Arabidopsis thaliana: one gene and its partners. The protein of the gene in region 1 purifies or fractionates together with the protein of each later gene. This does not show direct contact. Each region holds a gene or a part of one and is shown in the gene's direction. Other genes may lie near its edges.

The links.
Region 2: the proteins of FYPP1 (region 1) and IMPA-2 fractionate together in Arabidopsis thaliana (co-fractionation; one large-scale study listed by BioGRID). This does not show direct contact.
Region 3: the proteins of FYPP1 (region 1) and AT3G57890 fractionate together in Arabidopsis thaliana (co-fractionation; one large-scale study listed by BioGRID). This does not show direct contact.
Region 4: the proteins of FYPP1 (region 1) and IMPA-5 fractionate together in Arabidopsis thaliana (co-fractionation; one large-scale study listed by BioGRID). This does not show direct contact.

Annotation. Positions count from the first base shown.
Region 1 is NC_003070.9:18,656,171-18,663,996, forward strand, and holds FYPP1 (Calcineurin-like metallo-phosphoesterase superfamily protein), read left to right. Parts: upstream 1-2,337; 5' UTR 2,338-2,723; coding exon 2,724-2,804; intron 2,805-3,254; coding exon 3,255-3,401; intron 3,402-3,486; coding exon 3,487-3,554; intron 3,555-3,770; coding exon 3,771-3,828; intron 3,829-4,187; coding exon 4,188-4,298; intron 4,299-4,410; coding exon 4,411-4,461; intron 4,462-4,566; coding exon 4,567-4,710; intron 4,711-4,807; coding exon 4,808-4,903; intron 4,904-4,992; coding exon 4,993-5,064; intron 5,065-5,418; coding exon 5,419-5,502; 3' UTR 5,503-5,882; downstream 5,883-7,826. Other genes in the region: VIIIA (P-loop containing nucleoside triphosphate hydrolases superfamily protein), read left to right, coding at 1-20, 124-191, 280-936; AT1G50380 (Prolyl oligopeptidase family protein), read left to right, coding at 6,112-6,481, 6,629-6,912, 7,014-7,208, 7,428-7,774. UniProt on the Arabidopsis thaliana protein: Catalytic subunit of protein phosphatase 6 (PP6). Dephosphorylates phosphorylated phytochromes, with a preference toward Pfr forms.
Region 2 is NC_003075.7:9,132,034-9,140,273, reverse strand, and holds IMPA-2 (importin alpha), read left to right. Parts: upstream 1-2,858; 5' UTR 2,859-3,139; coding exon 3,140-3,364; intron 3,365-3,452; coding exon 3,453-3,641; intron 3,642-3,726; coding exon 3,727-3,858; intron 3,859-3,973; coding exon 3,974-4,159; intron 4,160-4,241; coding exon 4,242-4,405; intron 4,406-4,492; coding exon 4,493-4,571; intron 4,572-4,928; coding exon 4,929-5,057; intron 5,058-5,212; coding exon 5,213-5,340; intron 5,341-5,448; coding exon 5,449-5,824; 3' UTR 5,825-5,826; exon of another isoform or gene 5,827-5,949; 3' UTR 5,950-6,524; downstream 6,525-8,240. Other genes in the region: AT4G16141 (GATA type zinc finger transcription factor family protein), read left to right, coding at 7,381-7,554, 7,983-8,240.
Region 3 is NC_003074.8:21,435,597-21,443,951, forward strand, and holds AT3G57890 (Tubulin binding cofactor C domain-containing protein), read left to right. Parts: upstream 1-2,487; 5' UTR 2,488-2,674; coding exon 2,675-3,181; intron 3,182-3,692; coding exon 3,693-3,800; intron 3,801-3,888; coding exon 3,889-4,029; intron 4,030-4,174; coding exon 4,175-4,549; intron 4,550-4,634; coding exon 4,635-4,739; intron 4,740-4,868; coding exon 4,869-5,009; intron 5,010-5,347; coding exon 5,348-5,551; intron 5,552-5,662; coding exon 5,663-5,755; intron 5,756-5,849; coding exon 5,850-5,961; intron 5,962-6,055; coding exon 6,056-6,099; 3' UTR 6,100-6,292; downstream 6,293-8,355. Other genes in the region: AT3G57900 (import inner membrane translocase subunit Tim17/Tim22/Tim23 family protein), read right to left, coding at 6,685-6,789, 6,877-6,978; AT3G57910 (D111/G-patch domain-containing protein), read left to right, coding at 7,175-7,300, 7,467-8,012, 8,140-8,205, 8,313-8,355.
Region 4 is NC_003076.8:19,989,877-19,997,320, reverse strand, and holds IMPA-5 (importin alpha), read left to right. Parts: upstream 1-2,648; 5' UTR 2,649-2,804; coding exon 2,805-3,011; intron 3,012-3,137; coding exon 3,138-3,231; intron 3,232-3,332; coding exon 3,333-3,424; intron 3,425-3,496; coding exon 3,497-3,628; intron 3,629-3,709; coding exon 3,710-3,895; intron 3,896-3,964; coding exon 3,965-4,128; intron 4,129-4,214; coding exon 4,215-4,293; intron 4,294-4,513; coding exon 4,514-4,642; intron 4,643-4,746; coding exon 4,747-4,874; intron 4,875-4,956; coding exon 4,957-5,305; 3' UTR 5,306-5,375; downstream 5,376-7,444. Other genes in the region: AT5G49320 (transmembrane protein, putative (DUF1218)), read left to right, coding at 1,107-1,271, 1,457-1,683, 1,857-2,238; AT5G49305 (importin subunit alpha), read left to right, coding at 6,598-6,682, 6,766-6,869, 6,958-7,080, 7,145-7,327, 7,408-7,444. UniProt on the Arabidopsis thaliana protein: Binds to conventional NLS motifs and mediates nuclear protein import across the nuclear envelope.

The DNA of each region.
Region 1 (7,826 bases):
ATCTGCTGTAATACAATCAGGTAAAATAGGGTTGATTAATTCTCATGATTGAAACAAATTAAACCTCAAAATATATTTTTAAAAAATAGAAGTTTCAAGAAATGCTGAAACCTTTTTCTGTAGCAATTCGTGGAGAGCTGGTTAGAAGATGTGCGGGGGATATTGGATGGCTTAGTTCTGGTGGCACCAAGGTCCTCTCAAAGCTTTCATTCTCTTCGTGCATTTGACTACATGATATATATGCATATTGCTAGACTCTTAAACCAATTCTTTATGTAGAGAAATGAGTCAGACGAGGTGCTAGTGAAGGCATCATATCTTTCCGATCTTCAGCGTAGGGTTCTTAGAACCGAAGCTGCTCTTCGTGAGAAAGAAGAGGAGAACGACATCCTCCGACAAAGAGTCCAGCAGTACGATAACCGGTGGTCTGAATATGAAACAAAGATGAAATCCATGGAAGAAATTTGGCAAAAGCAGATGAAATCTTTGCAATCCAGTCTTTCCATCGCAAAGAAAAGCCTAGAGGTTGAGGACTCAGCGAGAAACTCGGATGCATCGGTGAATGCAAGCGATGCAACAGATTTAGATTCAGGAGGTAGTCATTACCAAATGGGCCATGGCAGGTCAAGAAGTGTAGGCGTGGGTTTAAGCGTGATAAGCCGGTTAGCTGAGGAATTTGGACAAAGAGCTCAGGTATTTGGTGACGACAGAAAGTTCTTGATGGAAGTGAAATCTGGTCAGGTGGAAGCAAACTTGAATCCGGACCGGGAGCTACGAAGGCTGAAACAGATGTTTGAGACATGGAAGAAAGATTATGGAGGGAGACTAAGGGAAACGAAACTGATACTTAGCAAACTTGGGAGTGAAGAAACAGGTGGTTCAGCGGAGAAGGTGAAGATGAATTGGTGGGGGAGGTTGAGGAGTACTAGGTATTAATGGTTACTTCCTTTTCTTGAGACGCACGTCTCCTTTTCTACACGTTTGATGTAACTACGGTTTTTGGCTTTGCTGCTAGAAGTGAGAAGGCTCCTTGGGACTGAAAGAGTCATGTTTTTCATTTGCCACCCAAATCTATTGGCAAATTCAGTAAATAATTTTTATATTATACAGTATATCTATTTGTCAAGGATTCCAAAGTCCAGTGAACCATTGCTGTATTTGAATATAAATAGTCGTTGCAAAAACAAATCAATATTTATATTTCTTAAATAGTTAAGTTTTTTATCAAGCTAATTAAAATGGACATAGCGAGAAATAACTACAAGGTGGTAAACTATGATAATAATATAAATTTCCTTACAAGTTTGTTTGTTTGTAAACATATGGAGTTAGAAAGGGAAAAAAAAATTGTATAGATTTTATACAAGATTGTTTTGAGTTTAAAAAATCTTTATCGTGTTTGGACAATGTGTATTTTAAAAACTATTTAACTACTAGTTTTTTTGGCCGATTTCAGTGATATCTCGACTTAGACTCTACAAAAATTTAGATAATTTGATGGATAAAATTACATATGATAAATCATGCACTTGTATCAGATGGTCAGTTGGTGGAATCCCTCTTCAACAAGTGATCTTTCTTGGAATGTTGTCGTGGGTTAAAAAAAAACTCAATCCAGCCCAAACCCGAAATGAACATGTCTGAGAAAAATCATTTCTATTCTTGCAGCTGAGTAAACTCTTCACAATTTAAATTTCGAATTACCTTTGCGATGCATCACTTTTTTAAGTGGAACTAAGTTTCGGATCACCTCTCGACCAAGTATAAACCAAACCAACACCAATATATACTTTCCGTAATATTTGGCCCTCCGACTAGTGATTTTTTCGGATGTAATTTGAACATTGGAGATTTTTTGGTGAGACAAATTCCATTTTGTCATTTTTAGAGGTCATCATAACAATACTTTTCCTTCTCAAATTATCCCTAACCAGAAGCCAAATGGGAAGACCCAAACATAAACATTGAAATGAATCGAGTGAGGTTCGCTCTTGAACGATCGTATTGCTAATGCCTATCCAAGATCATTGATTCATTTCTAACATATCCCGTACGGTCTCCCACAAACAACCTTCCTCAAAAGTTCAACATCACATAGATTTCGAAATGTGTCTTTAGACACAATTTGTTTAACAAGACTTTTAAATAATTTTTTTTAGGAGTTTTTAATTATCAAAAAGGTCTTACTCAAATTCAACAACACATATATCGAAATGTGTTTTTTTAAAAAAATTAAAAAGAAGAAAAAATACTATAAAGAAGGTTTAAGTATTTGTGGAATTTTATTTAGGTGTTATCAATTGTCACATTCAAGTAGACAAATAAAATTACCAAGAAAAGAATTGCAAAAACATTGAAAATGTGTAGTATACTCCATTAAAGATTTGTGTAATGAAGTAATAGATAAAAATTAAATTGATGTTTAATATGTTGCCAAAAAAATGATTAAAAATAAATATCCAACGAATAGAGTTTGGGGATGGAGGAAGACCAAATCGGGTTCGGGTCGAGATTGTTTGGTTCGTTGTGTTTCCCCTTTCTCTCTCTCTCCCTCTTTCCCCCTTACGTAACCCTAAGCGGACGGAGCAATGCTCTGCTAGATCTATCTTTCTTTCAATTCTTCACCAGAGATCGTCGAGACTCACCATTGAAATCGAAGAAACAGCACCAATTTCCACTTCACCACCGAAAGAGAGAGACAGAGAGGATAATAAAAGGCCGCCATGGATTTAGATCAATGGATTTCCAAGGTTAAAGACGGCCAACATCTCTCTGAGGACGAGCTTCAACTTCTCTGCGAATACGTACGCCTTCTTCTTCTTTCTTCTTTCTTCTCTTGCTTGCTTTCTCTTCCCCGAATATTCATGCATCTACAAAAACCCAATTCTTCGCTTACTCTTTTGAGACTTTAGAGCTTGCTTTGTGGCACTTTACTTTGAATCTGGTCTCTCTCCCTTACTGTTTCCTTTGCCATTTTGGTCTACGGATTTTAGGGTTTTTCTCTCATTTTTCCAATAGAGGATTTATTGACTTTGCTATTTCAATTCTAAATTCTAAGGAATTAGGGATAAGTTTAGCTCTTCTTTAGCCAATTTATGGATGCACCAAGTCCACGCTTGCAAACTGTTATTTGAGGATTTATTATAGTAATTTTAGTGTTGAAACTTGTAGTAGCAGCCGTCTTCTTCTTTTTTCATGACAATGATTTGCTAAGATACTCTGGTAATTCACAAGATATTTTGACTATTATATAGGTGAAAGAAATTCTTATTGAGGAATCAAATGTACAACCTGTCAACAGTCCTGTCACCGTCTGTGGTGATATCCATGGCCAGTTTCATGATCTTATGAAACTTTTCCAGACCGGAGGTCATGTTCCCGAGACCAATTACATATTTATGGTATAGACTCTGACTTTGGGCGTAGGCTCGTATGACATATCAATATGTAACACATAGTTTAATTATCTGTGGGGGATTTTCTCAGGGGGATTTCGTTGATAGAGGTTACAACAGTCTTGAAGTTTTCACCATTCTTTTGCTTCTTAAAGCAAGGTAAGATTTTCCGTAGAAATTGTGCGTTATATATGTCATGGATCGTCATCCTTCCGTTTCACACTGTATATCATAGTTCTCTTGAGAATGCTCTTTAAGCTGTAAACGCATTGCTCTACTGGAAAATCGATTTAACTTGTATTCCAGGAAATTTATATTCTAACTTACTTTGCTGTGAGCTTAAAATCACTCGTTTCCTTGTATTTCAATATGTAGACATCCAGCCAATATCACTCTTTTGCGTGGAAATCATGAAAGTAGACAGCTAACTCAGGTATGCATTATTCTAATCCATTTATATCTATTGTTGCTGACTTGCTGTGCTCTTCACGCAGTTACTGGTTGAGAAGTAATTTTCGCTCAATTGTTATAACTAGTTTTGAAAGTTTATTTTGTACATGTGGCAATGCCATGCTAGATATAGGCATAGATGTTAACTAAGATGCATTTTATGTGAACCCTTTGCAACCATAAGTTTTCTTCTCGGAAGCTCTTGATTTATCTCTATCCTACACCATATCCTATATCTTTTAACATCCACTGTCAAGGACGAAGATTGTAGTGATATTTTGTGCCCTGCAGGTTCATTTTTATAGTTTTCTTAAATTGTCGTACCAATTTTATATTTGCTAGGTGTATGGTTTCTATGACGAATGCCAAAGGAAGTATGGTAATGCTAATGCTTGGAGATATTGCACGGATGTTTTTGACTATCTTACACTTTCAGCTATTATAGATGGCACTGTAAGTATTTCTCAGCTTCTTTGGCATTGTGTTATGATGTGTTCTTGTATAATTTTATGAATGCATAAGTTAGCTGTATACCATATTAAAACGTATTGCATCCTCAATGTAGGTTCTATGTGTTCATGGTGGCCTTTCACCTGATGTACGGACAATTGACCAGGTTAAAATGTGCTATTTTAAATTACTTTTGGTTTTCACCATGCAAGTGTTATTTATGATTAGATTAAATCTCATTTACTCATTTAGATGTTATTTTGTTCTCTAGATAAGATTGATTGAGCGGAATTGCGAAATACCGCATGAAGGACCCTTCTGTGATCTTATGTGGAGTGATCCTGAAGATATTGAAACATGGGCTGTCAGTCCACGTGGAGCTGGTTGGCTTTTCGGGTCCAGGGTTACCACTGAGGTATTTATATTTTTTTCTGGGGTTGAAATTTGAATAAGGTGTGAAAAGAAATAAATGTATTTCAGTTCCCTGATCTGTGGTTTTGCTTCTTGTGCAGTTTAACCATATTAACAATCTTGATCTAGTATGTCGCGCTCACCAGCTTGTACAAGAAGGTCTCAAGTACATGTTCCAAGATAAAGGTCTTGTAACTGTAAGTGCCTTGCTTCCTTATGATCATTTTGGATAGTTGGAAGTATAATCTGCTTGGTGATGTTTCTTCTCTTTATTTTTTTTGTAAAGGTGTGGTCTGCGCCTAATTACTGCTACCGTTGTGGGAATGTGGCTTCTATATTGAGTTTCAATGACAACATGGTGAGGCATTTGTTTTCTCTTTTGTTACTGATCTGCCACAATATCTTGTTTCATGTTCTTCTTACTTTTATGCACTCGTCTTCGGATTCTACTTTTCCTTTTTGATTAAATAAGTTACTGCCTTTGATACTTGTCTCTCGACCCAAACATATACACATGAGTGACTCTTGTGAGATAGAGTTATGATGTTTAAGCCATTTATTTAGTAACAATTCACAGTTCGCGTGGAATCAGTCTGTCCATATTGATTGTGCTCTGTGTGTTACTTTTCATATATAGACCTGTTTCTGGGAAGTGTTTAGGATCTGGTCCTCACTGACAGTAATGATTTGTTAAAATATGCTTAATTACCAGGAAAGGGAAGTGAAGTTCTTCACGGAGACAGAAGAGAACAATCAAATGAGAGGGCCAAGGACAGGTGTTCCTTATTTCCTGTGATTCATGATGATGATCCTACATCATTATTAGTCTCGTATTGCTCTTATCAAGTTAGCCATTATCATGATTGCCATTGGCTTATGTTCTTTCAAGGTATATCTTCTGATGTTGTTTACACTTCCATTGTTTTTTTTTTCCTTTTTCCATTTTGGAAACATTTTCTTGTGAAAGTGAATGTCACTTTGGTAATTTTAGTGGTTTTGATGCACTTTAACCTGAACCTCTTCTGGATGTTATTATTATACGTGCTTTCTTTCTTGTTTTGTTTCATCTTTGTTCTGTAAGCAAGACCAATTTTTATCATCTCAGCTTATTTGCAGTTTAGCACGGTTTGATTAGGTTCTGGGTTAATCTCAGGCTTATAAAATTCATCAAGCTCAAAAATAGTCCACTACAAGAACATAGAAGACCATTAATCAACATTCAACAGTAATTTGTTTCTAATCTAATTATTTGGTTTTGTTCAATAATCCTAGCAAAAATTCACGAAAGAGTTAATAATTTTGTAACCGGAATCATAGATAGGCCGGTTTATCCAAACCGGATATGACCTGTCCTCTATTAACAAACTGGTCGCGAGTCTCTAGGCAACTAAAACGGACACGTAATATGATAATAAGGCGTGGACTCGTATCTCTCGGCACTCACTTTCTCGCGACTCGTAGTCGTCTTCTCCACTTCGATACTCCTCTCTCTTGCCTCGTTCCTCTTGTTCCTCGCCGCCGCTCTATTCTACGGCTGTCTTCTTCTTTTTCCTCTTCCTCTGAAACCGGAGCTGCGTCAGTGCGGTTGACATCACCGAGAGACATGGCGGAATCGAGATCCCCTCCTGTAGCGAAGAAGGTGGAGCATGTGATGGAGATGTTCGGTGACGTTAGGGTTGACAATTACTACTGGCTCCGTGACGATTCTCGCACCAATCCCGACATGCTTTCTTATCTTCGTGAAGAAAATCACTACACTGATTTCGTCATGTCTGGTGAGTCTTTTCAAGTTGCCTCTGTCAGTGACGTTGTGATACTTAGGGGATTAGGGTTTTTAGCTTTCCTTGTTTTCAATTTGGAGTATTAGTGACTTGTTGATTATGCAAGCTTGTGATAAATTAGACTGGAAAATAAAAATTCAGGGACCAAGCAATTTGAGAATCAGCTGTTTGCTGAAATAAGAGGGAGGATCAAAGAAGATGATATATCTGCACCTCTACGCAAGGGTCCTTACTATTATTATGAGAAAAATCTTCAAGGAAAGGAATATATTCAGCACTGTAGACGTTTGATCACTGACAACAAAGCTGAGCCTTCTGTCTATGATACTATGCCAACTGGTCCAGATGCTCCTCCTGAGCATGTGATATTGGATGAGAATACCAAGGCTCAAGAGCATGACTACTACAGAATTGGGGCCTTCAAGGTTTGACTAGAAAATAGACTTTAAAAATCGTCCTAAGAGATATCCTTTTCAAACTTGCTCTTTACTAACTTGATGTTTCATTTTCTTGATTCTTTTTATAGGCGAGTCCCGATCATAAATTGGTGGCATATGCAGAGGACACAAAAGGTGATGAGATATATACAGTGAATGTCATCGACTCTGAAGCCCTAAAACCAGTGGGGCAACAGCTTAAAGGACTTACTTCTTATCTTGAATGGGCTGGTAATGATGCTTTGCTCTACATAACAATGGACGAAATCCTGCGACCTGATAAGGTTTACCTTCAATCTTTTCCCACCCTACTGTCTTAGTGTATAGTACTGGAGGAAGGGATTAACTTTTGCATGAATATAGATTTTACCGTTTCGATCAATTGTTGACATTATACACCTCATAGATGCCATATTTTCTTACCAAATTTGACTGTACTTATTATGAGATACGTCAATATTTTTGGCTTTCATGTTCTGATCTTCATATATTCTTTGTAACAGGTTTGGTTACATAAATTAGGGACAGAGCAGAGCAGTGATGTATGCCTTTACCATGAGAAGGATGATATGTTTTCTCTTGAACTCCACGCTTCTGAGAGCCATAAGTATTTATTTGTTGCATCTGAAAGCAAAACTACAAGATTTGTCTTCTCGCTTGATGTGTCCAAGACTCAGGATGGACTCAGGGTGTTGACACCTCGTGTAGATGGAATTGATTCATCTGTCAGTCATCGTGGGAACCACTTTTTCATCCAGAGAAGGAGCACTGAATTTTACAACTCAGAACTGATCGCCTGTCCAGTTGATGACACATCAAAGACAACTGTTCTGCTTCCACATAGAGAAAGGTAAACTTTTTTTGTTAGAATCTGGTTGCCATTGTGGCCTATCCAAAATCCA
Region 2 (8,240 bases), on another chromosome or scaffold:
ATGTGTCACTGGTTTTCTTGCTTTACATCTACCTGTTTCTGTGATCACCATATATATACGATGTTTGGGTCACTTATTAGTTATTACCAGAAAAACTACCATTCTGATGGACTAAACTGCCAATGCTGCTTGGATTTTCTATTTATGGTATCATGTTTATTGGTTGCGTTTTGTGGAATTCTTCTTTGGTTTTGGGATATTGAAACAAGAAATGAGTCTATGAGACTCAAGTGCTACTCCATATTAATCTGGGATGATCATTGAGACTTTAATTGTGCTCCTGAACCTGCAGATCTTTTGATTTCCTGCCTCCAAACCAAGCAACCTTGTCAAGACATTCATTTCTAGGTCCGAATGGTCTTAAAAGGCAAATGGTTGCACCCAAGTCAGAGATAAAGGTATAGTGCTGATCATTGTTACCTTTCTCACATTTTCTCACTCTTTCTTTTACTCTTGGTCCAATTCAATGTTTAATTATCTTAGATCTGAAGGAACTGAGAAAAATCTTTATTTTGTATGGAATGATAGGTTCAATATCCGAGTAATACAGATTGGGGTTCTGCGGACAATTCAGGGTAAGTACTCATCTTCTGTTACCTTCTAAGCTTTTCCTTAAAGAAGTCATGGCTATTTCAAACTGACTCCATGTATTTCTGCAGTTTAATTGAAGCTGGACCTAGCAGTTCCTCAGCATCACTTAATGGTGATTCTCAAGAAGTCTCAACACTGAACTCTGTGCTCTCCTTAGATGATGGTCGATGGCAGCGTCATTCTGAGGCAGTAAATTCCCAGTTTATTAGCGACGCAACTGAAGACCCGTTTCAGTTTGTCGGTATGAAGCAACCTTCCCCTCCTCCCGTGCTTGCTCAAGTGCATCAAGAGTTAGCCCAAATTTGCCCATCTAAAGTAGCTGATCCTAGACCAGGACCTGCAATTCCTTCCCTAGAAGGAAAAGAGGGCAGCAATTCTTATCAGCATTTGCATGTGGTATGTTCCAGCTGTATCTTCTTTCACTTTTGTGCAGTTTCCACCAATTCCATAGTGTTTGTGAGAGTAAAGTGGAAGGGATATGCATATCAAGTAGAAAATTATCCATGATTAGTCTAATTATTTGGTATGTGTTCAAGAATCAACACATTAAATCATCGAAGTATTGGATTCATGACCATTACAGCTTCTTAAAAGCTTGCTAGAATCGGTTCTGGAAATCTTTCTCTTTCACCTCTTCTTAATCTACTACTAATGTTGTCACCCTTTATTTAAATTTGCTGAAGCCTGTGCGCATAATGGATGATTTCCTAAGGCTAGCTCGGTCAAACACAGAACGGAATTTAGAAACTTGTGGAGTACTTGCTGGTTCTCTGGTGAGTAGATGGAACCTTTGCATTTATAATTTTTGATTCCAATATCATGATCAGCTCGCCATTACTTATATTCTGTCTATTTGCCATGTTTACAGAAAAACAGGGTTTTTCATATCACTACTCTCATAATCCCAAAGCAGGAGTCTACCTCAGATTCTGTATGTTCTTCATTTTTCTTAACCATTTACATCAATAACAATCTTTTTAATTCTCGCTGGTATGCTTCTCACACTTAGGTTCATCATCATTTGGGTAATGTACAGTGCCAAACACTAAACGAGAAGAAATATTCGAGTACAGGACAGACTCTCTCTATTTCCCTTGGGTTGGATTCATGTAAGTTCTCTCACCCGAACTAAAAAATCTTCCATTTCCAGATAATGACTTACCAAAACGTTACTCAGAACAATTGTGAATCCATATATCCACTAGTTGATAAGCTTTATCGATTCGTCTTGCTAATTTACATTTTGGTTTCAGACACACCCTACACAAACTTGCTTCATGTCATCAGTTGATCTACACACACACTACTCGTATCAGGTAACAAACTCCCCTTATCAATATCTCTATGTTAATCACTTATGATGCGATTATAGTAAAACCATCATCTATATCTATTGTCCCAGATAATGCTACCGGAGGCGGTGGCAATCGTAATGGCACCAACAGACGAATCAACACCTCATGGAATATTCCATCTCTCTGATCCATCAGGCGTATCTGTGATCCGAAACTGCCAGCAACGAGGCTTCCACCCACACGAAGAATCAGAAGACGGTAACCCAATCTACGAGCATTGCTCACACGTCTTCCTCAATGCCAAACTCAAATATGAAGTCCTCGATCTCCGCTAAAAGCCAACCTCCATCACCATGTTATTATTTTTCCTGGAGTCTTAACTTTAAAGAGACATTAAAAAGACCTCAGAGATCAGATGTCTCAGCCGTACATATATGTGTATACTTCTTAAAAAAACCTTCTCTTTAAAGTTCCAAACTTGGCTGAGCCGTCTTAAGTAATGATGATTGTGTTTATTTATAACGAGTACACTTTTAAATTCGTATGCACCATTTCACAAAGCCAGATGTTTGATTAAAAAAACATAAGTATTTTTTTCTGACGATTTTTTCATTTAAATTAAAATTCATTATAGTCTGTGGGAAAGACCTGATACCATGAAAGTTGAGGTGAAAATCTGTTATTAGCTTTCATCAGATAAGAACGGAGAGAGAATAACAGATTTTCACCTCCTAGATAATGCTACCAGAGGTACTTGCAATCGTTATGGCTCCAACAGACGAATCTACCCCAATATATGAGCATTGCTCATACGTCTTCCTCAACGTCAAACTCAAATGCGAAGTTCTCTACTCTAAACTTTCTTAAACGAATATAATATACTTTTAAAATTACTTTCACAAAACCAAGTTTTGCCAAAAAAAAAACTGTATTTTATTTTAAATTAAATTTAGTCGGTGCGAAAAGACTAATGAATAAACAAGTCAACTTAAGTAAATTAATGGTCTCTGTATCGAATCTTAAAATTTAGATTTACCAAAATGTTTTTGTAAACCAACGAAATTCAATCTTTCTCTCTGTGCCTTTTTTCCTCTTTTCTCGTTCCCCTCTACTTCATTTAGGGTTTATCATCCTCTACCAATCCGCCGATTCTATACATACACTTTTCATATATATACATACATCGTCTCCACTCTCGTTGGCTCATTTTTCATTCACCGCCACGAAGCAAGAGGAGATTCGTATTAGCCACCATGTCTTTGAGACCTAACGCTAAGACTGAGGTTCGCCGGAACCGCTACAAAGTGGCGGTGGATGCTGAGGAAGGAAGACGGAGGAGAGAGGACAACATGGTCGAGATCCGTAAGAGTAAGCGTGAAGAAAGCTTACAGAAGAAGCGTCGTGAAGGCCTTCAAGCTAATCAGCTACCTCAATTCGCTCCTTCTCCTGTTCCTGCTTCATCAACTGTTGAGAAGAAGGTAATATTACTAGCGATCTGGAACCGTTTCCTAGGATTTGATTGGTTTAGATCGATTCGATTTTGATTTTGGTTTTGGTTTTGGCTAGTTGGAGAGTTTGCCTGCTATGGTTGGTGGTGTTTGGTCAGATGATAGAAGTTTACAGCTTGAAGCGACTACTCAGTTCCGGAAATTGCTTTCTATTGAGCGTAGTCCTCCGATTGAAGAAGTGATTGATGCTGGTGTTGTGCCTCGGTTTGTGGAATTTCTCACTAGAGAGGATTATCCACAGCTTCAGGTTTGGTGGATCGTTATGTATCTGTCATATTTTGCTAGAATTGTCTTCTGATACTAATTACTTGTGTGTGTGTGTGTGATTTCAGTTTGAGGCTGCTTGGGCATTGACAAACATTGCTTCTGGGACTTCAGAGAATACAAAGGTGGTCATTGAACATGGTGCTGTTCCGATTTTTGTTCAACTATTGGCTTCTCAGAGTGATGATGTCCGTGAGCAGGTAAGATATGTGTTTATGGTTTTTTCTCATGACTCAATATACTGTCAATTTTGTTTGTTTTCGGGAACAAGCATGTTCTAAAGCTTGTTTGTTTCTTAATCTTTTCATGTGTAAGGCTGTGTGGGCATTAGGGAATGTTGCTGGTGATTCTCCACGGTGCAGAGATCTTGTCCTTGGTCAAGGAGCTTTGATACCATTACTCTCTCAGTTGAATGAGCATGCTAAACTCTCGATGCTGAGAAATGCTACTTGGACCCTCTCTAATTTCTGCAGGGGCAAGCCACAGCCTCCCTTTGACCAGGTTTGTCTCTCATTCCTATCTTAATCTCTGCCCAAAGATGAAGGAGTTTTTCTTTTTAATTCTTGTGATCTCTTAATAACAGGTCCGTCCAGCACTCCCAGCCCTTGAACGCCTGATTCATTCGACTGATGAGGAAGTGTTAACGGATGCATGTTGGGCTCTCTCTTACCTTTCCGATGGCACAAATGACAAAATCCAATCTGTCATTGAGGCAGGTGTTGTTCCTCGACTCGTCGAGCTTCTCCAGTGAGTTTCAAATCCCATGATTTCACCGTGCTTTTGTATAATGAATGTTATGTGTTAATGAATATTATCAATTTTATTTTGCTGTAGGCATCAATCACCATCTGTGCTTATTCCTGCCCTTCGTAGTATTGGTAACATTGTCACTGGAGATGATCTGCAGACACAGGTATGTTTGTTCTTTTATAGTGTCATTCATTCATATTATTCAGGATACATGGTCCAATACTGATGGGAAGAATGAAATACACTGGCTAGAAAGCTGAATCTGAGTTTGTTGATAATGACATTTAGTTGTCAAAAGTTACTTGTCAAATTCTTCCTAGATGAATCTCTAGAATGGGAACTGTCAATTCTTCCCAGATTTTATTTCCCCCCCTGCATGTTTTTTACCCTAGTTATGCAATACCTAACATTCCTTTTGAATAGTTAGACTAATTTAAGGCAGTATGTATAATACTCTTAAGAATCTCACACATGTACCATTCCTCACTTATTTTGCTTTCTTTTTTGGTTGGTTCTACAGTGTGTAATTAGTCATGGTGCACTTCTTAGCCTTTTGAGCCTTCTGACTCACAATCATAAGAAGAGCATCAAAAAGGAAGCTTGCTGGACAATCTCAAATATCACTGCTGGAAACAGGGACCAGATTCAGGTGAACTTTTGCTAAAGATTGTTGTTTCTGCTCAGCTTATCAGTTTCTCATAAACTAATCACTAATGTTGGAAGACATGTTTCAGAAGCCTTTTTGTTGTTTGAAGAAAGATGTTCTGTGTGTTTATGTTCTCTAATATTGTTGTGGTATTGCAGGCTGTGTGTGAAGCTGGTTTGATTTGCCCTCTTGTCAATCTGCTTCAAAATGCGGAGTTTGATATAAAGAAAGAAGCTGCGTGGGCAATATCAAATGCCACTTCAGGTGGTTCTCCTGACCAAATCAAGTAAGATTATCCGATATAAACTCCATGTTCTGTTGATCTCAACTCCTTTAGAATCTTTGTTGGTTATTTTTCAAACAGTCAATTAAGTTATTCCGTTGTGTGTTTTAGGTACATGGTGGAACAGGGAGTCGTGAAACCACTGTGTGATCTTTTGGTGTGCCCTGATCCAAGGATTATCACTGTGTGTCTGGAAGGATTGGAGAACATTTTGAAAGTTGGGGAAGCTGAAAAGGTCACAGGAAATACCGGGGATGTAAACTTTTATGCACAGCTGATCGATGATGCTGAGGGATTAGAAAAGATTGAGAATCTGCAGAGTCATGACAACAGCGAAATCTATGAGAAGGCAGTGAAGATTCTTGAAACGTACTGGTTGGAAGAGGAAGATGAAACTTTACCACCTGGTGATCCCTCTGCACAAGGCTTCCAGTTTGGAGGAGGTAATGATGCAGCCGTACCACCAGGTGGATTCAACTTCCAGTGAAGGTAAAAAAACCTCACTACTTGGGACTAATTTATCTAAGCATCTAAGGCTAGACTAGCAAACAGAGTAAATCTGCCTGTGTGTCTACCTTGTGTGAATCTGTGAGTCTGGTTTTGCTTCCACAGGAGCTGAACATGACGATTTGAAGAGTCGAAGGAGCTTAAAGAGTTTGGGGGCACTGGTTAAAAAGGGTATGATTAGAGAGTCTGGTCTTCTGTGTAAAAGTCAGATGGGGTGCCTTACTTAGTCTGGCCTGGTCCGGTCAGATCCAGTGGTTGGTGGGTTTGAGTCATGGAATAAGCTTGTTGGGGGGGAGTTGGGTAGGAGTCATCAAGGGATATTTATTTTTGGGAAAGGGTTTATAAGTTTTTAAAGTGTGATCTGATGAGAATGTGTCTCTCTGGGTTTTTGTTACATTTGTACTACACAACACTGCAAAGTCAAACATAAAAAAGTTGGTCAAACTTTATTTGGTCTTATTGGTGACATAAAAGCCCAATTGGTTCGTCTCTTTATTGTTTATAGTAAATGTTTTTTTTTATAATCTATTTTAGTGCGGTCCAAGTCATTTTGGGCTATTGTCTACATATGCACGCGTATCTAGTTTCAACATATTTCCATTAATCGATGTTATTAATGGTTATCGTCAACTTCAAGTAGGGAGGGTTTCAATAATAAAAAAATCCTATGTTTTGTTCAATCCCTGTCGTTTATAAGCGTAGGTATGCCTTGGACCCAAAAGAACTCAAATATTCATAAGTCGATTACACAAATTTAAATAAGATGAAATTGACCAAAAAGAGAGATGTTTTGTAATTTTCATACAAAAAAAGTTGCACTACACGAGCATGTCTTCGATATACCTAATATTATTACATAAATTTTTCGTATTTCATTGTGAAGAATTACACAAAATATCTAAAAGACTGGTAAAAAATGCATGCATATCTCTAAGCCCAATTAGGGAAATCTAACGTGGCAAACAACCACAACGAGTAAATCCAATGTATTTCGTGCGCCAGGTTTTGAATTAAAATTTCAAATTTGGTACCAAAGCAAGCAAGATACCAAAAAACCCCCTTCCACAAGATCTTTGTTACAAGTTGTTGTTGTAAAATGATTTTCCCTCTTCTTTTTTCAGTTTGTGGTTGTTTTATTTTTTGGCGGGTGGTTCTATAGTAATAAAACACCGCGCTCGAGGGTAAAAAAGTAATTAAGAAAGAGAAATCTAGGGTTTATTAGTCCCCGCCTCCTCCTTTATTATAAAAACCCTCTCCGTTTGTTTTATCCGTTATTCTTCTGCGGCGTCTCTCTCTCTTCCTTATCATCATCATCTTCACTCTAAACTTCACAGAGAGCCATTCAAGCAGAAGAAGAGCTCTTTGATCCTTCTCTGCCATTTCCGTTACTCTCCTTTCTTCTGTTTCAGAGTTTTCTATTCTTCTCAATCCTATCTCGCTTCGAAGTGGATCAATGTGAGTTTCCATGATCGTTTTTGATCCTTCTCTTACTTGTAGTTGATGATCACGTTTAATAATTGTCTTTTTCTTTTGTAGATGTCAATGACGGAAGAAACCAAGACGACGAAGCTCGAATCGGCGGGAGATTCGTCCGATGTAGACAACGGGAACTGTAGTAGCAGTGGAAGTGGAGGTGATACGAAGAAGACATGCGTTGATTGCGGAACAAGCAGGACTCCTCTTTGGCGTGGTGGACCTGCTGGCCCTAAAGTAAGGATCATGATCTCTCTCTACCATTTTCTTTTAAACCCTTAAAAATCCAAGCTTTAAGGTCTCATGTGTTAGATCTAGTCAAATAGGTACTTGAATCCACTTAAAATGTAGGTTGATCTTGTGTGCTTAGCTCTGTTGCTAGTGGGTTTTGTCTCATTGATGTGATCATGTGTATACATAGTCTAGGTATGCGAGGTTTGTGTCAATCTGTGGTTGATATTTAAATTTGTTATGTGATCTCTATGTTTTGTTTTGATTCTGTGTTTGAAGCCTTATTACTAATTGATCAGGTTAAGATTATTGTTACACTGTTTTTATGATGCCTTTTTTACTAAGAGATGGTTATGTCTCTTTAATTTTAGATCTGTTTGATGATTGTTCACTATTTGTTCTCTGGTCTGATCATGGATTGACTTTGTTTGCAGTCATTGTGCAATGCGTGTGGTATCAAGAGCAGAAAGAAGAGACAAGCAGCTCTTGGAATTAGACAAGATGATATTAAAATCAAGAGCAAAAGTAATAACAATCTTGGTCTTGAGAGCCGAAATGTCAAGACCGGAAAAGGCGAACCAGTTAATGTTAAGATTGCCAAATGTGAACCGGGAATTGTCAAGATTGCCAAAGGTGAACCAGGAAATGTCAAGAACAAAATCAAGAGAGATCCTGAGAATTCCAGTAGCAGC
Region 3 (8,355 bases), on another chromosome or scaffold:
CAGTTGGACATATATACTATATTAGTAGTTAAATTGCATATGTTTGATCTGTTGATTTGTATATTCAGTTCTTAAACTAAATAACAAGTACTAACTATATTTCAGTATTTGTATATAATCATTTAGTATCGAAACGGTCTCGTGGTCGTGGCACCTTTAATTGCTGAGAGGGCCGTCTTTTACTTTTCGTTCTAGCTTTATGATGTGCCACCGAGTAGTTAAGAGAATGCTTCTGCTCCAAGTATTTTGACATAATTTAATCAAAAGTATTAGCTACTTTACACGGACAATAATCTAATTTTATAATTAGAGTAAGATAGAAATTAAAGAAGATATTGGTAGTCGTTGCAAATGACACGTGTTGATCATGCTTTGCTCGCATTTGTATAGCTTCGACTTGAAGGATTTCAGTCCACCGTACGTTTACCACGATCGAGTCACCCACTACGGTCATAACTAATACTATAATTTGATAAGTGTAATAAGAAGACAAATGATAAAAAAAAAAGAAGAAGACAAATTTGCTAAGATGACAGTTTGTAATCCATATCTTATCACATCTACAAGAGAGATATATACAACTCTTTTTCTTAAGAGATGATTAATGCGTTAAACAAGTTTAACCAGTTATCAAAAATATGTAAATCTTTTCTCCAGAGGTTTAAAGACAACGTCACGGTAATTGTTTCGTCGAAAAATGACTATTTTAAACTGTACGGTTCATGGTCACTTTTTGTGTATTTACATAAAGAAAAAATATTAAATTTTATACTCAGAATTAGGTATGGGCACGAAGCGGATATCCGGAAAAATTATGATATTTGTTATTCGATTCGTTTTAAACGAATACTTGATTTTGTGATTCGCTTTACTTCGAAAATTTCCAGATATCCGGAATTTCGAATATCCGGAATTTTTTGTGATATTTGCGGATATCCGCTTTGATACATTTAAATATTAAAAAAATATGTATACTATATAACTATATCATATATTCAAAAAATTTATCCGTGCGTTCCTTAATTGGTGTCTCCGTGTGCTTTTAAAATAAGTTCTAAATACCAAACATAACCGTTGTTGGTATCACCGGTCAACAAAATATTATCAAACTAATTCCAAAACTAAAACCCGATAGTTTTTTGATGCCATTGATCAAAACATAACATAAAAAAAAATGATCAAACAAACATCTTAACATAAAAACATAAAATGACAACAATACACAAACTATTTATGATATCTATATATAGATATACTATATTTTCTAATATATATAAAAAGATACGGATCGAAGCGGATATTCGATTTTTTAAAAAACAATATTTATTATTTGATTCGATTTTTACGAATACTATATTTTTCTATTTGCTTTGCTCCAAAATCTTACGAATATTCGGATTTTTCGAATCAAATTAAATCAAATACCGAATCGAAACGGATCAAATCAAATCAAATCAGAATATTGAGCTAGCTGAATGAATGAGATAACCTAAGAATCCAAAAGTTGATAGTGTTCCCTTTCCGAATTCCAATAGTAGCTTGATAACATTTATTTAACGGCGATAAATTCAACCGTTAGTTTGATTACCAATCAAATAATTGCTTGCAATAGACGGATGAAACGAGTGGTAAGAATAGGTGATTGAAACAAACGGTTAAAAGCTTAAACAAAATAGGTGAGTTTGCAACCTCTCTTGTTCACCATTGGAATATTTTAGTTATTTAACGTTTCTTAGATTTTTAAAACTGTAATGTATTTGAATTATTTACTAAAGAGTTTTGTTTTTCTTTGTTTTTTAAATATTTTTAGTTATTTATTAAATATTTTAATTTAGTTTTTTTTTTTTACTGTTTAACCGTTTGTTACTAATCATAACTATTATTTAACGGTTCATTTTAAATTATTTATCATTTTTTCTTTTAATATATTTTCTAACCGTTTTTTTTTATCAGTCTTTTTTGTAAGTGTTAAATAAAATAACCGCCTTATTTAAACGATATTACCAATTGGTTTAATTTTAGGTTGTTCATCTTTTCTAACCGTTTTTTTCTACCCGCCTTTTTCTGTAACTGCTAAAAAACATAACCGTCTCATTTAAACGATGTTTACCCATTGCAAACCATTTTCCTTAAACAAGCGGACAATATTTAAATTGCAATGAAAGCGAGTTATGAGTTCTTTTGGCCTAAACTTCCCAATTTTATCTCTCTTTTTCCCACTAATCTTCTAACAATTTTAATTAACAGTGACAACTTACAAGTACTTAGGTAACCAAGTATATTTCCCTATTGTAAAACCTAATTATGAGTTGTGATGATCACCTTTTCTCCTTTTGACGAACGCTTAGGACCTAACTTATTGCAACAATGGCCTAACTAAAACTTAAATGCGATTTGCATTCAATTCTCAAATGGGCCTCTTTAGTTAACATGTTATCTCCGTTCATCTGACGTGTCATAGCTCAGATCAAAGGTTAATCTACTCGTAAATCCAACGACCAAAGAAACGAAGCGTACGTTACTAACATACACGTGCACGCACTGTAACCATCTCTCTCTCTGCTCTTCTCCTTCAATGAAATGATTCGTCACCCAAAGAAAGATCTGCAACTTCACCACCGGACCAGTCTCTCTCTATCTCTTCTGTCTCTCTACCTCGCGCGACGAATCAATCATGACTGAAGAACAAGACCTCATCGACCAATCACCACCACCTTCAGCACCCGACCCTGAACCAAACTCGAGCACGAATCCGAATTCAGTAATCCATCCAAGGCGTGTGTCTTTCGAGCACGGACTCCTCCCGATCCAGAAACTCGTTTTCACCGACCCGATCCAAACCTTAGCCCCTGTCAAGCAGAAGCTAGCCGATGCGGCTTCGAATAACCGCGTTGGATCGGCTGCAATCGCCGACGTTCTCCAGATCTCCGGCGACCATGCGCGTCTCGTTCTCGAGACTCTCGGTTCGGTGCTTCATTCCGAGTCTGACCCTCTGGTTCGGGCGAAACCTGAGGAAGTTGATTCCGTCGGAGCTGATTTGCGGGATCTTATTTTGTTCCTGTACATTCAATCGTATAAGAAGTTGCTTCCTAGGACGCATAAGGACTCCGCAGCGGTGGCTGATGTTTGGCCATCGACTTCAGCTTTTGATGGATACTTGTCTGCGTTATCGCCAATTCAGGCAAGTTTCTTACTTTTTTTGGCCCTCTTATTATAATGTGCCTCAATCCCAGCGCCTGCGATTTGTTTGGTATTGAAATGGAACTGTTGTACTCGAGTATGGAATTGGAACGTGGTAGAGAATAACTTATTTCCATTTCGCATTGTATTTAACTAAAATTTGCAATGCAAGTTTAAGTTTTCTGAGTCATTTGATTTACCTGAAACTTAGAGTTAAGCAATGTCGGAAATTTGGGTGATTAATTGAATTGATGGTGGCTATAGTTTCGTAACAATTCTCAATGAGGAAGATGCTTACTTGTATTTAATTGCCAGTCCCCTTTCTCTGATGACTCTGGGGCAATGGTAATTGGTTAGTTTACTAACTAAAGTCAAACAGTCGCCAGCTTGCTTTGTTTTGTGGTTCGGAATCTGATTCTTTTTCCGTTGTACCTTATTTTGTTTGGTCCTTTCACGTGGTTTATTTGGTGATAATGCTTGGTGTGTTCTTGAATTTTGACTCGGGTCTCCAGTCCTGTAATATTCTGTTTCCTGTGTGGTATGGATGTTCTATTGAGTCTTTTAGAAAACAGTCATATAATCTTAAGCTTTTCAGTGTTTTCTACAGTCACTGTTCTTTGGTATTCTATCGTTTCTCATCACATGGGTCGAACCAACTTTATTGGAGCTAAAATTGTTATTTATATCTCCTTTTCATCATTTCTGCAGCTTGTTCGCAGCAACAGCCGTCGATTTATGCCATCACAGGCAGATGATGAAGCTCATCAGTTGTCATATCTGCAAAAACATTTAGCAAACATCATTTCTCTCCTTGCAGAGCCTGTGGAGGGAGAAGGAGATGAATCATTGGTAAGTTCTAATCTTTCTTATATTCTCAGGGGGTGTCACTGTTCTAAGCTACAAGAATATAAAATTCTGATGTTGGAATAAGAATTTTTTAGGAAATGAAAGAGAACACAAGTTAATTTTTTTTTTCTTGTCCAATATCGTTCAGGTTTTCTCTATGGAGGCGTTCGAGCATCTGCGTTTTCTTGTTCAGTTTGGTGATAAGGGATCTGATGTATCTCCATTGAGCCAAGCTACTCCTTTTTTTGCAAATTCTGATCCGGATATGCCCGCTGTTCCAGTCCCCGCTTCCCAAGTGCATGACTGGCTTCTGCAAAACATAGCTTCCGCTTTAGAAAGCATTACTGAGAGAATTTCTGGAAAAGAGAACGGACCTTCTAACGATCAAGATGATGCGATGTCAGATGTTTGTGCTGCTCCGAACAAGGTTGCACCTAGTACTAGAGGCCCGTGTTTAATCGAGGGAGTCTCCAAGACTTCACTTGTTAAGCAAGCCTCCGATCTAAGGGGTAGATCTGTGAAGGTCTGACTGTTCCTTGTTCCGTTTTTCTTCCAGTCATGGAATCTCTGTGCAAGCATGTCAACTCCTTGTTTTGTGTATTTTTCAGGTTGTCAATTGCCATGATTCTGTAATTTATCTTTTAGCACCATTGCGATATGCAACTGTGCACGGATGTTCTGATACTACTATAGTTTTGGGAGCTGTTGGCAAGGTATGGAAACAATGCTTCTTCCTTCTTTATCTTTTCTGAAGATAGTCAAAGCAACATTTAACAAGTTATAATATCTGCCAACTTTTATTAAAAGATGTATCAAACATAATTCCGTATTTATTTCTGCAGGCAATAAAAGTTGAGCACTGTGAAAGAGTTCATGTGATTGTAGCTGCCAAACGAGTGTGCATTGCCAATTGTCGTGAATGTGTATTCTTCTTGGGAGTCAATCAGCGGCCACTTATTGTTGGTGATAACCACAAACTGCAGGTGAAGCTTCTCTTTAAGATTGTGGTTTAATTTACAAGTTTTATGTCATGTTGCTCTTATTTACCTTTCTGATATTAAGGTAAAAAAAATTGAGTGGCTAGACTTTTTACTAGATTTAGTTTGGTTAGTTTGGTTAATAAGCCGTTTCGGACACGTCATCAAGTCTAGTGGAAACAAACTTGGAGGGGTGGCTAGACTGCTGCTAGATACGTTTAGTCAAATGTTTTCCTCAAGAAGGTTTTACTGGTTTTTAAGAGTGCGGGCATTGTCAGATATTGCTTCTAGTGATTATGGGCTTCTATTTTTAAAGTGCTGGCATCAATTTGACTTTGTTTCAGGTCGCTCCATATAATACATTTTACTCTCATTTGGAAGAGCACATGAGGGAGGTAGGGCTTGAGCCAACGATCAACAAATGGGACAAACCATTGGCCCTGGGAGCTGTGGATCCACATGACTCCCTGTCACATCCTGCCGGTGTTGCTGATGCACAGGCTGAATCAGCTGCTTCTGTAGACCCTGACCAGTTCGTAAACTTTTTGGTACATTTTCTATTTGGGTCTAACATTTACGTCAATAATTGGTGAATGCTTTTCAGTGTCATGAAGCATCTAATGACGTGTTTTTCGGTGGTATCAATGACAATGGCACAGATCCCAAACTGGTTTAGCGGCGCGGAGCTTGGTTCGACGAAAGACAATCCATTTCCATTGCCAGATGCTTATATGGCAGCTCAGCAGAGAAACGTATGTTTTAAAGTTATACTTAACCAGATAAACAAATGCATTTGTTATTTTTGTCCATATCTGATCTTGTATCTGCAATTTTTTTTGTCATCAGCTTAAGAACTTTGAAGAAACAAGACGATCGTTAAAAGAGGCGCCTCTAGAAGAAAACCGGAAACGAGAGCTATCAAGTGCACTCCATGTTTATTTCAAAGACTGGCTTTACGGTAAGAAAACTTTCTCTGAATCGATCCCTACTTTACTTTATTGATATGCATCATTCATTAGGTTTTGACTTAGTCTATGTTTTTGTTGCGACAGCATCTGGAAATATAAGGCAACTCTACTGCCTACAAGGTGACTAATAAGAATAATAGACCAAGCGGAAAGTGTCTTGTTCATGTAGAGCTCCTTCGATCATATTTGGCATATTGCTAGTGAAGAAACCCCACCCCAAGACCAAAAGAAAAAAGAAAAAAGAGAAATCAGCCTGATTCAGTGATTTGTAGTTTGGAACCAATACTTCACAACGTAACTTATCTGCACAGAAATACTCTCTTAAAGCTTTCGTTTAGATTATTGTTTTCTTGATTTCTGCTTTTCTTTCCTTGACATTTCAATCCATCGTTTTTGTTCCCTTCTCTATTGAAAATCTCATCTTCAAATAGAGCATGATGACTTGAATTGTTATAAGTTATAACTTGTAAGCAAAACTGTTTTGATAGATAGTCTTGTCTTGGTCAAATAGATTTAAGTGGACGCAAGAGTTAGGCTACTACCATGGTAGGTGCAAATTTCTGAAGAAGTTTTAGAGCTCCAAAATTTCTCATATTTGCAGAATCTCATATTCGTAGAAACATCCAAACAATGCAACATAACATGAACATCTCAAGATACAAAAACAGAAGGACATGGGATGGAACAGAGATATCCATGAGCGCAGGATCCAGCTAATAATGAGTTCTTGCTACTTTAGTCATTGTAATGTGTGCTCCATTGAAGAAATCTCTCTTAGCTCTAAAGTTCTGCACCAACTGTTCAACACCAATGAACACCTCCAATGGCAGCAAAAGTCAGCCCGTGGCTTCCCATCATCTTCAACGTTCTGATGAGTCCTGGAAGAGCAACGTTTCTTTCAATACGAGGGACGTCTTTCCAGTTGCAAAACCAGTCACAGCATCTTTGAATGTCTTCATCATCGCTCCATTTTCCTCTTCCAAGTATCTCATTTCTGTAGGATCCATGATAATTTCTTCAACCGATAAAGCTTAGTCCTTTTTATGTCAAACGTGATCTAACAAAGAAAATTGGCAGCAACGACATAGTGGAGAACACAGCCAAATACTATTATTATTGGGCCTAATTAAAGCCCATTAATGATTCTCTTTTTTTTTTTGTTGTTCTCCCTTCCTCTCAGCGCGAACGCAAGCTCCGTCGGCAATGGCAGAATCGACGAGAAATCTGACTGGGCTTGGAGGAGAAGCAGCGAAAGAAGAAGATGATGAGTACATGGGAGACCTTTCTCAGTTTATTCCTCAGGAACTTAGCCAGACCTCCAAAAGAAAGGTATCTTCAGGCCAAAATTTTCATCTTCTTATGTCCACAATTGTCAAGCTCCTGAATCCAAATTTGTCCAACTGATTTTGAATAATCTCCAACAAATTTCGTTTAGTTTGATAGCTGAATGAGATTTTGGGATTATATTTAAATTCGTATATAAATGCTTTTGCAGGAATCTGAGAAGAAAACTGTAATCGTAGAACCATCACGGAAGAAGTTAAAAAATCTCAATTGGCACGAGAGACGAAGATTGGAGAAAGAGAGGAAACAGATAGAAGAAGATGAGCAGACATTGGCTCGTATAGTAGACACTCCAATAGGAGAGTCTAACATAGGGTTTAAGCTATTGAAGCAAATGGGTTACAAGCCAGGTTCTGCTCTTGGTAAACAAGGCTCTGGTAGAGCTGAGCCAGTGACTATGGATATTCGAAGATCGAGAGCCGGTGTGGGAAGAGAGGATCCACATAAGGAGAAGAAGAAAAAGGAGGAGATTGAGGCTGAGAATGAGAAGAGAAAAGTGGATGAGATGTTGGAGGATTTTGGGTCTAGACAGAAGTCTCAATGGCGTAAGAAAAGAGTTTTGATTAACTTTAGGAAGGCTAAGGCTGCTCTTGATCAACTTGAGAATGTAGAAGTTGTTCCGGAGAAGAAAAATGAGGAAGATGAAGATGGTAAGCCTGATGAAGAAGAGGAAGAAGAGGAGGAGATCACTGAAGAGGTATGTTCTCCTAGGAAACAAGAGTTGGAACTTTTGGTGTCTTTCATCTTTATGAGTAATGGGACCAATTGATTAGAGTTTGAGACACTGTTCTTTAGGTTGACAAGTTTAGTTTTACTGGTTGCAGGATTTGCAAGAAATATTAATGAAACTGAGAGCTGAACATTGGTATTGCCTTTTCTGCGGGTTCCAGGTAACTGAATGCTTTGAAATCTTCTTTTATCGATGTTTTTTCTGAATCTTGAATGTTGAGTTTGTGTAAGTATACACTAATATGAAATTTCACGATATGTGAATCAGTATGAAACGACTGAAGCTCTTCTATCCAACTGTCCTGGCGTAA
Region 4 (7,444 bases), on another chromosome or scaffold:
TGTCCATACAAATTTTGGATCCTAGTTCATGGCTTTTTTTTTTTTTTTTTTTTTTTTTTTGTCAAAGATCCTAATCTATATATGCCTTAAGGTGCTTATACCATGGACTTTGAGTATAAGTAAAATTTTAAACCCAATATTTTCACATCATAATTTCGAGCTTTGGCGATGGTAACCTCAACTTTCATAACTCATATAGCACAATTTAGGTACATTAAATTCAAAATTCTTACGACGAGTGACGACATCACAAACTTTGTCATGAAAATACCACATGAGTGATGAGTACTTAATACACAACCATGTTCTTTTCAAAACCGATGCGACCAGTGTCGGCAACAATAAAAATATATACTATCACAACGGCAAACACAACATCGGCGAGACACTAACATTAAGGTGATGACAACTTGACAAGTAGTGTTGATCCAATTCGAAGCTAAAGATATCAGTGACACGAGCTCGTTTTTTCTGTCACTATATGTCTTTGCTTTTGAAATGGAGTATCAGAAACCGCTTCTCTATTGGTTATTTATGGTGGGGTGTGGAAGGCTTTTGGCTTCCTATTAAAAATTACACGCCCTCACATGATTATGCTAATAAATAGTATATAGAAATAAGACAACACTCAGTCACTCACGACTCACGAACAAAGTTCATCACCTTATCTTTTTATCTTTATCTTTATTTACTTTCAAGATAATAAAAGGTACGATGTTCTTTGTATGAACACAAAATAAAAAGAAGAAAAGAATGTTCTTATACACGTGTAATATATGAAAAGAATCATCCAACTAACTCCATTAACGAACTCTCGTCACATTATATATTTTACACATCATCGTTTAATAGACACTATACGAAAACAGTATAGTATTTCTAAAAAGACATCCGAAAGAGAACCTGCGAATCTTGGCCTTTAAGCAACCTTTGGCTGAAGCAATTCTTCTATCCTCCTCTCCTTTTTCATTTATTTATCAAATATACTCCAGTTTATTCTTTTCTTCCCACTTTCAATGCCTCTCATATATGTAAAACAAATCAAAGTATAATAACTCTCAAAACATGTAACTTCGATTCCTATCTATTAGAAATTGACGAGAGACATGTCGAGAACAAGAGTGCGAGCTGTGACCCATCAAGATCTTGTTCCAAACCCTAAAACCACAGATCTCAGCAGCAAAACCGGTATTTTCATCGCTGTTTTGACAATAATCTTTGGCCTCTCCTGCTTTGTTCTCTGCCTCTATGCCGAAGCCACAAGATCTCAGGTACATTACTATACAGGGATGTATATAAACTTTCTCTCATATGTTTTCATCATTTATATTTTCAAAATAAATCAGAAATCTATATTGATTCATGTTTTATATTAATTACCATATCGTTCGATTATAATAGTATTTAGTATAAGTTATATCATTGCCATTAATATGTTGTCAATCATTTGCAATAGGCGACATGGGGAAGCAAAACATGCGTGTATAATGGTAGCGGGAAAACGCCGTTGTTGTGTGGTGCGATTGCGTTTGTGGGACTAGCGGTGGCGATGGTGGGCTTCCACATGTACTTACTTATCGCAGTCACCACATCGCCGTCTCTGGTTCTGGTTGAGTGGGATCCTGACTCTGTTCCTGCGAAGAGGCTCACTTTTCAAGCTGCCTTCTTCTTCGTCTCAACATGGTACGTAGACTTATTCTAACGCAACGAATTAATGTCATGTAGTTATAAAAAATAAAATAAAAATAAAAAAATCCTAACTATAAGCAATCGTGAAATGACATATTTATGTTACTGACCATAGCTTAAGTTAATGATAATTTTGTGATTATATTATTCTTTTTTGTTCCTATAAGGGTTTGCTTTGGTGTTGGAGAGGTTCTACTGTTGGTTGCACTTAGTGTGGAATCAGGACATCTAAAGAACTGGTCTAAACCAAAACCTAGTTGTCTAGTAATCCGGCAAGGCTTGTTTTCAGCGGCCGGAGTGTTCTCACTTATAACCGTCTTTCTAGCCACGGGACTTTACCTAACCGCTCTTCAAGCACATCGAATCTCTAAGGATCTTGAAAACACACATAGAGAGATCATCGAGGCATCAGTTCTTTATGCATCTCCTCCAAGATCGCCTACAAATCGGATGGCTACGGTTGCTCGAGAAGGTCTTGCTACTGTTAGAGATGAATCGACGTCTTTGGAATATCTTGTTTCTTTAAAGCAACTTGCACATATAGTATAGTGTACAATGTATAGTAGTTAACATAATCATATGAGAAAAAACAATGTTTTTACTTCTTACATAAGCAATTCAAAATCACAAACCAAAACCTACTTTTTCCAATCAATACATGAACTTTACCGGAAAAGTAGGTTTTCCTTCGCCGGAGAAAACACTACACATCTAACGAGTAAACTCTGCAAATATGGTTCTTTTTATCGTCGGTAACGAGTAACTAAACCAACTTCACGGTTTAGTTCGGTTTAGATTCAAGTATTTTAGCTTATAATAATTATTGACTAATTATTTCAATTTGGAGCTCTTAATAATATGATTGTAAACTTTATCTTAAATTTAGATTATCAATGATTTATGATTCAATCTACTGTATAAATACGGTTAACAATTAAAAACGATAATTAGAAAACCCTCCCGCTTCTTCAAATTGAAACTGTTGTCGCTTCTTCTTCATCTTCACCACTCTTGCATTCTCTTCTTCACTTTGCAAATCCCATTCAGTTCAAATTTCTAGGGTTTCGCTTCGATTTTGTGAATTGATTTAGAGAGGTCGAAGAATCGAGAAAGCTATGTCCTTGCGACCGAGCACGAAGACAGAGATCCGTCGAATCCGTTACAAAGTCTCTGTAGATGCGGAAGAAGGACGCAGAAGAAGAGAAGACTTTTTAGTCGAGATTCGCAAGAGTAAACGCAACGAAAATTTGATGAAGAAACGTCGTGTAAAAGTTTTGCCTCCTGATTACAAGTTGATTTCCAACGACCCCTTTGAGAGTTTGGTAAAAGTTTGATCTTTGGTTTTGGATTAGTGAAACCTAGGTTTTGAAAGATACGACCTTTATCATTATACTCGAATGCTTTCGAATTGGGTAATTAAATTAGATCCTCTCTGGTGATGGTTGTAGTTGGAGATAGCGAATATGATCACTGGGGTTTTCTCGGATGATCCTTCATTGCAGCTTGAGTACACAACTCGGTTCAGGGTGGTTCTATCATTCGGTAAAACTCTTTACTTTTCTTTGATCTTGAGTTGAAAAAGATACGAACTTATATTTACTTGAATGGTTTCTTAAAGTCTTGTGGTTTTATATATTGTTCAGATAGAAGTCCACCTACTGATAATGTGATAAAATCTGGAGTTGTGCCACGTTTTGTAGAGTTTCTTAAGAAGGATGATAACCCTAAGCTTCAGGTTAGACTTAAAGTTCCCATCTTTGATGATTAGTGTAATCTTTGGTTCTGAATTCTTTGATCTTTTTTATAGTTTGAGGCTGCTTGGGCTTTAACAAACATTGCTTCTGGCGCATCTGAGCATACCAAGGTAGTGATTGATCACGGTGTTGTGCCACTCTTTGTTCAGCTTCTTGCTTCCCCTGATGATGATGTCCGTGAGCAGGTATAGTGCTTCTTCTGAGTATGAATGGTTAAATATGTGAGTTCAAATTTTGAAGAGTTTGATGTTACACTTAATTTGCAGGCTATATGGGGACTGGGTAATGTTGCTGGTGATTCAATACAGTGCCGTGACTTTGTTCTTAACTCTGGGGCATTTATTCCACTGTTGCATCAGCTGAATAACCATGCTACATTGTCGATACTTAGAAATGCGACTTGGACTTTATCAAACTTCTTCCGTGGCAAGCCTTCACCACCCTTTGACCTGGTATTCTTACTTCTCTATTTCCTCAGTTTTATAGGTGCAATACTTAAACTTATGAAACATGATTTATAGGTGAAACATGTTCTCCCTGTACTTAAAAGACTTGTTTATTCGGATGATGAACAAGTCTTGATAGATGCTTGCTGGGCGCTTTCGAATCTGTCTGATGCTTCAAATGAAAATATCCAAAGTGTGATCGAGGCGGGTGTTGTCCCAAGACTAGTTGAACTTCTCCAGTTAGTACTTCTCTCCAAATATTAAAAAATTTAACCGTTTGATACATGTTTGGATAATGAAGGCTCGCCATTTTTTTCTTTTGCAGACACGCTTCTCCAGTTGTACTTGTTCCTGCACTTCGTTGCATTGGGAATATAGTTTCTGGAAATAGTCAGCAGACTCACGTATGTAATTCATATTCCTTTGATGGAGCCTTCAAGAACACGTCTCTTGTACACCGTGTGAATTTATTGTTTTTCAAAGCAATAGCACTATCAAAAGCTTAATTTGTAATCCTGTATCTTGGATGATTATATCCTGGAGAACACTTCATTTATATGTTGCTTGAGTACTGTGTTGAGATTAGATTTTGTAACCAAATAACTCTTTGAACTTATTTTTCAGTGTGTGATCAATTGTGGTGTTTTACCCGTTCTTGCTGACCTGCTTACTCAAAACCATATGAGAGGCATAAGGAGGGAAGCTTGCTGGACGATTTCAAACATCACTGCCGGTTTAGAAGAACAAATTCAGGTGAGCATGAGTTTGTGATTGTTACTGTTGCAGAACTTGAACAATTTACGTTGCTATCACTAAATATTTTCTATTTGTCTTTCTTGCATTGATGATGATAACAGTCGGTTATTGATGCAAATTTGATTCCATCGTTGGTCAATCTGGCACAACATGCTGAATTTGACATAAAGAAAGAAGCTATATGGGCAATTTCAAATGCTTCCGTGGGTGGTTCTCCTAATCAAATCAAGTACATCCCTGTCTTCTTTCTTTATCACTTTTTTCATGCTTATTGATCATCTATATTCACAATATCCATTGGTGTGTATCAGATACTTGGTGGAGCAGAATTGCATAAAAGCTTTATGTGACATCCTGGTTTGTCCAGATCTAAGAATCATCTTAGTGTCTCTAGGTGGACTGGAAATGATTTTGATTGCTGGAGAGGTGGACAAGAACCTAAGAGACGTGAACTGTTACTCTCAAATGATTGAAGATGCAGAAGGGCTAGAAAAGATTGAGAACTTGCAGCACCATGGCAACAATGAGATCTACGAGAAGGCTGTGAAGATTCTGCAAACATACGGGCTTGTAGAGGAAGATGGAAGGTTAGTTGAAGAGGAAGATGAAGGTGGTGATGGTTGTTCTCATCCGGAATTCCAGTTTGATTTTTCTCGTTAAGATCCCACATAATCTGATATTAGATTTTGATGTAAAGAAATAGCTGTCATATTGAACCAAAAGCATGCACATAATATGATGGTCCTAAAAGACAAAACAATGTGGATTCCAACAGGAAGTGGAACTTGGTTCTCTAACAGCTACTCATCATATTGGAATCAAGTTCCACTTCCTGTTAGAGAACCAAGTTCCACTTCCTGTTGGAATCCACATTGTTTTGTCTTTTAGGAAAAAATTTTACTCAAATTTACCGAACTAACGGTCAAAATTAAGAAAGGGTTAAATTATTTGTTTACCGAACTAACGGTCAAACTTTAAAGATGGATTCAGTTTTTTTGACGCGGGACGGATTTGTTTTTTTTTTTTTCTTTCGAAATGGATGGGCTCTTATGCTATGGGCTTTGGTATAACGTAAAAGGCCCATATATTCCGAAACCACTTTGTGTTTCGTTTCCATGGAGAAATTGAATCATCGAATTTGGTCGCCACTTTGAGAATTTAGATGAATTCGATAACAAGCTCAAGTAAGAAGGTGCAGAGATGCTTTATTATTTCTTCGCTCGTTGTTAACTCTTCTTCATTCTCGTCTCTGCTATTTTTTCTTAAGCTTCGATCAAAAACCCTAAACAATTCATCTGGATTGAAAATAGAGAATGCTAGACCACAGTGAGAAGATAAAATGATCTGATTCTGATTCGGGTGATCGAAGATGAACTGTTGGAAATGATGATGATCTGCTTCTGTGTTTGTTTCAGATCTTCTTGGTCAATTCAGAAACCATGAAAGCAAGAGCTCAAGTTATGATCGAACAGAGAAACCACAAGAAGAATTGTGCTGATCGTGGTCTTCGTCATGGTGGTGCTAAGGTGATTAGACATATAAACCCTAATTTCACTCCGATTTGGGGGGTAATTCGAGATTGGCAATGATCCGATGATCCTAACCAACACGCCTAACATGTTGAAATTTGGGTTTTATTAAACCGGATTTAAACCCAAAACCAAACTGAATCAATTTGGTTGAACTGAACCGGTTTCAGTCGAAATTAAATCAAACCAAACAAGCCGGTTCTGATAACGATATTGTCGTAGTAAATTCATCTGTTATTTTCGCTCCATTCTTGTTTGCATTCTTGCACTGAATTGCAAAATTTCTTTGCCTCTTTCACATTTCAGCTCAGATTTCTCTTCAAGTTTTGCAAATTTCTCTGGATAGGTCAAAGAAGAGAGAAAACCCACGTTGCTTAAGACCCAAGCTTCCTCTAAACGATCTCACACAAAGTTTCAGCAGCTATGAGTTTAGCCAATGGCCTTTATTCAAAAGATCCTTTGATACAGCTTGATTCAGCTATCAAGATCAACAGGATTCTATCAGATGGTAAATAAAACTTCCTCTGTTTCGATCTGAAAGATTTCATCTTTTAACATTTCTTTAAGTTTTGTGCTCTTATATCTGTCCAGGAATGCAAAGAAACTTGCCTCTTGGTACAAAAGATCTAATACGATCTGGAATTGTTGCTCGTTTCGTTTTCCTTCTTCACAATGAAGAATTCCCTAAGCTTCAAGTTAGAAGAAAAAAAAGAACCCATCAAATTGTTTTTTACGATGATCAGTGTAATCTTTGATTGTGATATATTCAATGGTCTTTTCTAGTTTGAAGCAGCTCGCGGTCTAGCAATCATTGCTGCTTTTAAACCGGATGTGGTAGTTGATCACAAGGTTGTTCCAATCTTAGTCACGCTTCTTGCTTCTTCGACAGATAATGTCCGTGGACAGGTAAAGATTGTACCTATGTAGTAGATAAGTATGAATGATATGAGTTTTGACATTATTCTTGCAGGCTATATTGGCACTGGGTAATGTTGCTTATCATCCAATACACCGTGACTATGTTCTTCAATGTGGGGCATTGACGCCACTGCTGATTAGGCTGTACAAGGATACTAACTTGCCGATGCTCAGAGCTGCCATTCGGACTTTGGCTTTCTTGTGTCGTGGCATGCCTCCGTCTACCTTCAACGAGGTCTTCTTAATTCTCTCTCTCTCTGTTTCCTCTATTTGTATGCGTCCAATACTTTCAACATATGAAGCATTGATTAACAGGTGAAGCCTGCACTTGAAATACATCTTAATTCAAGTG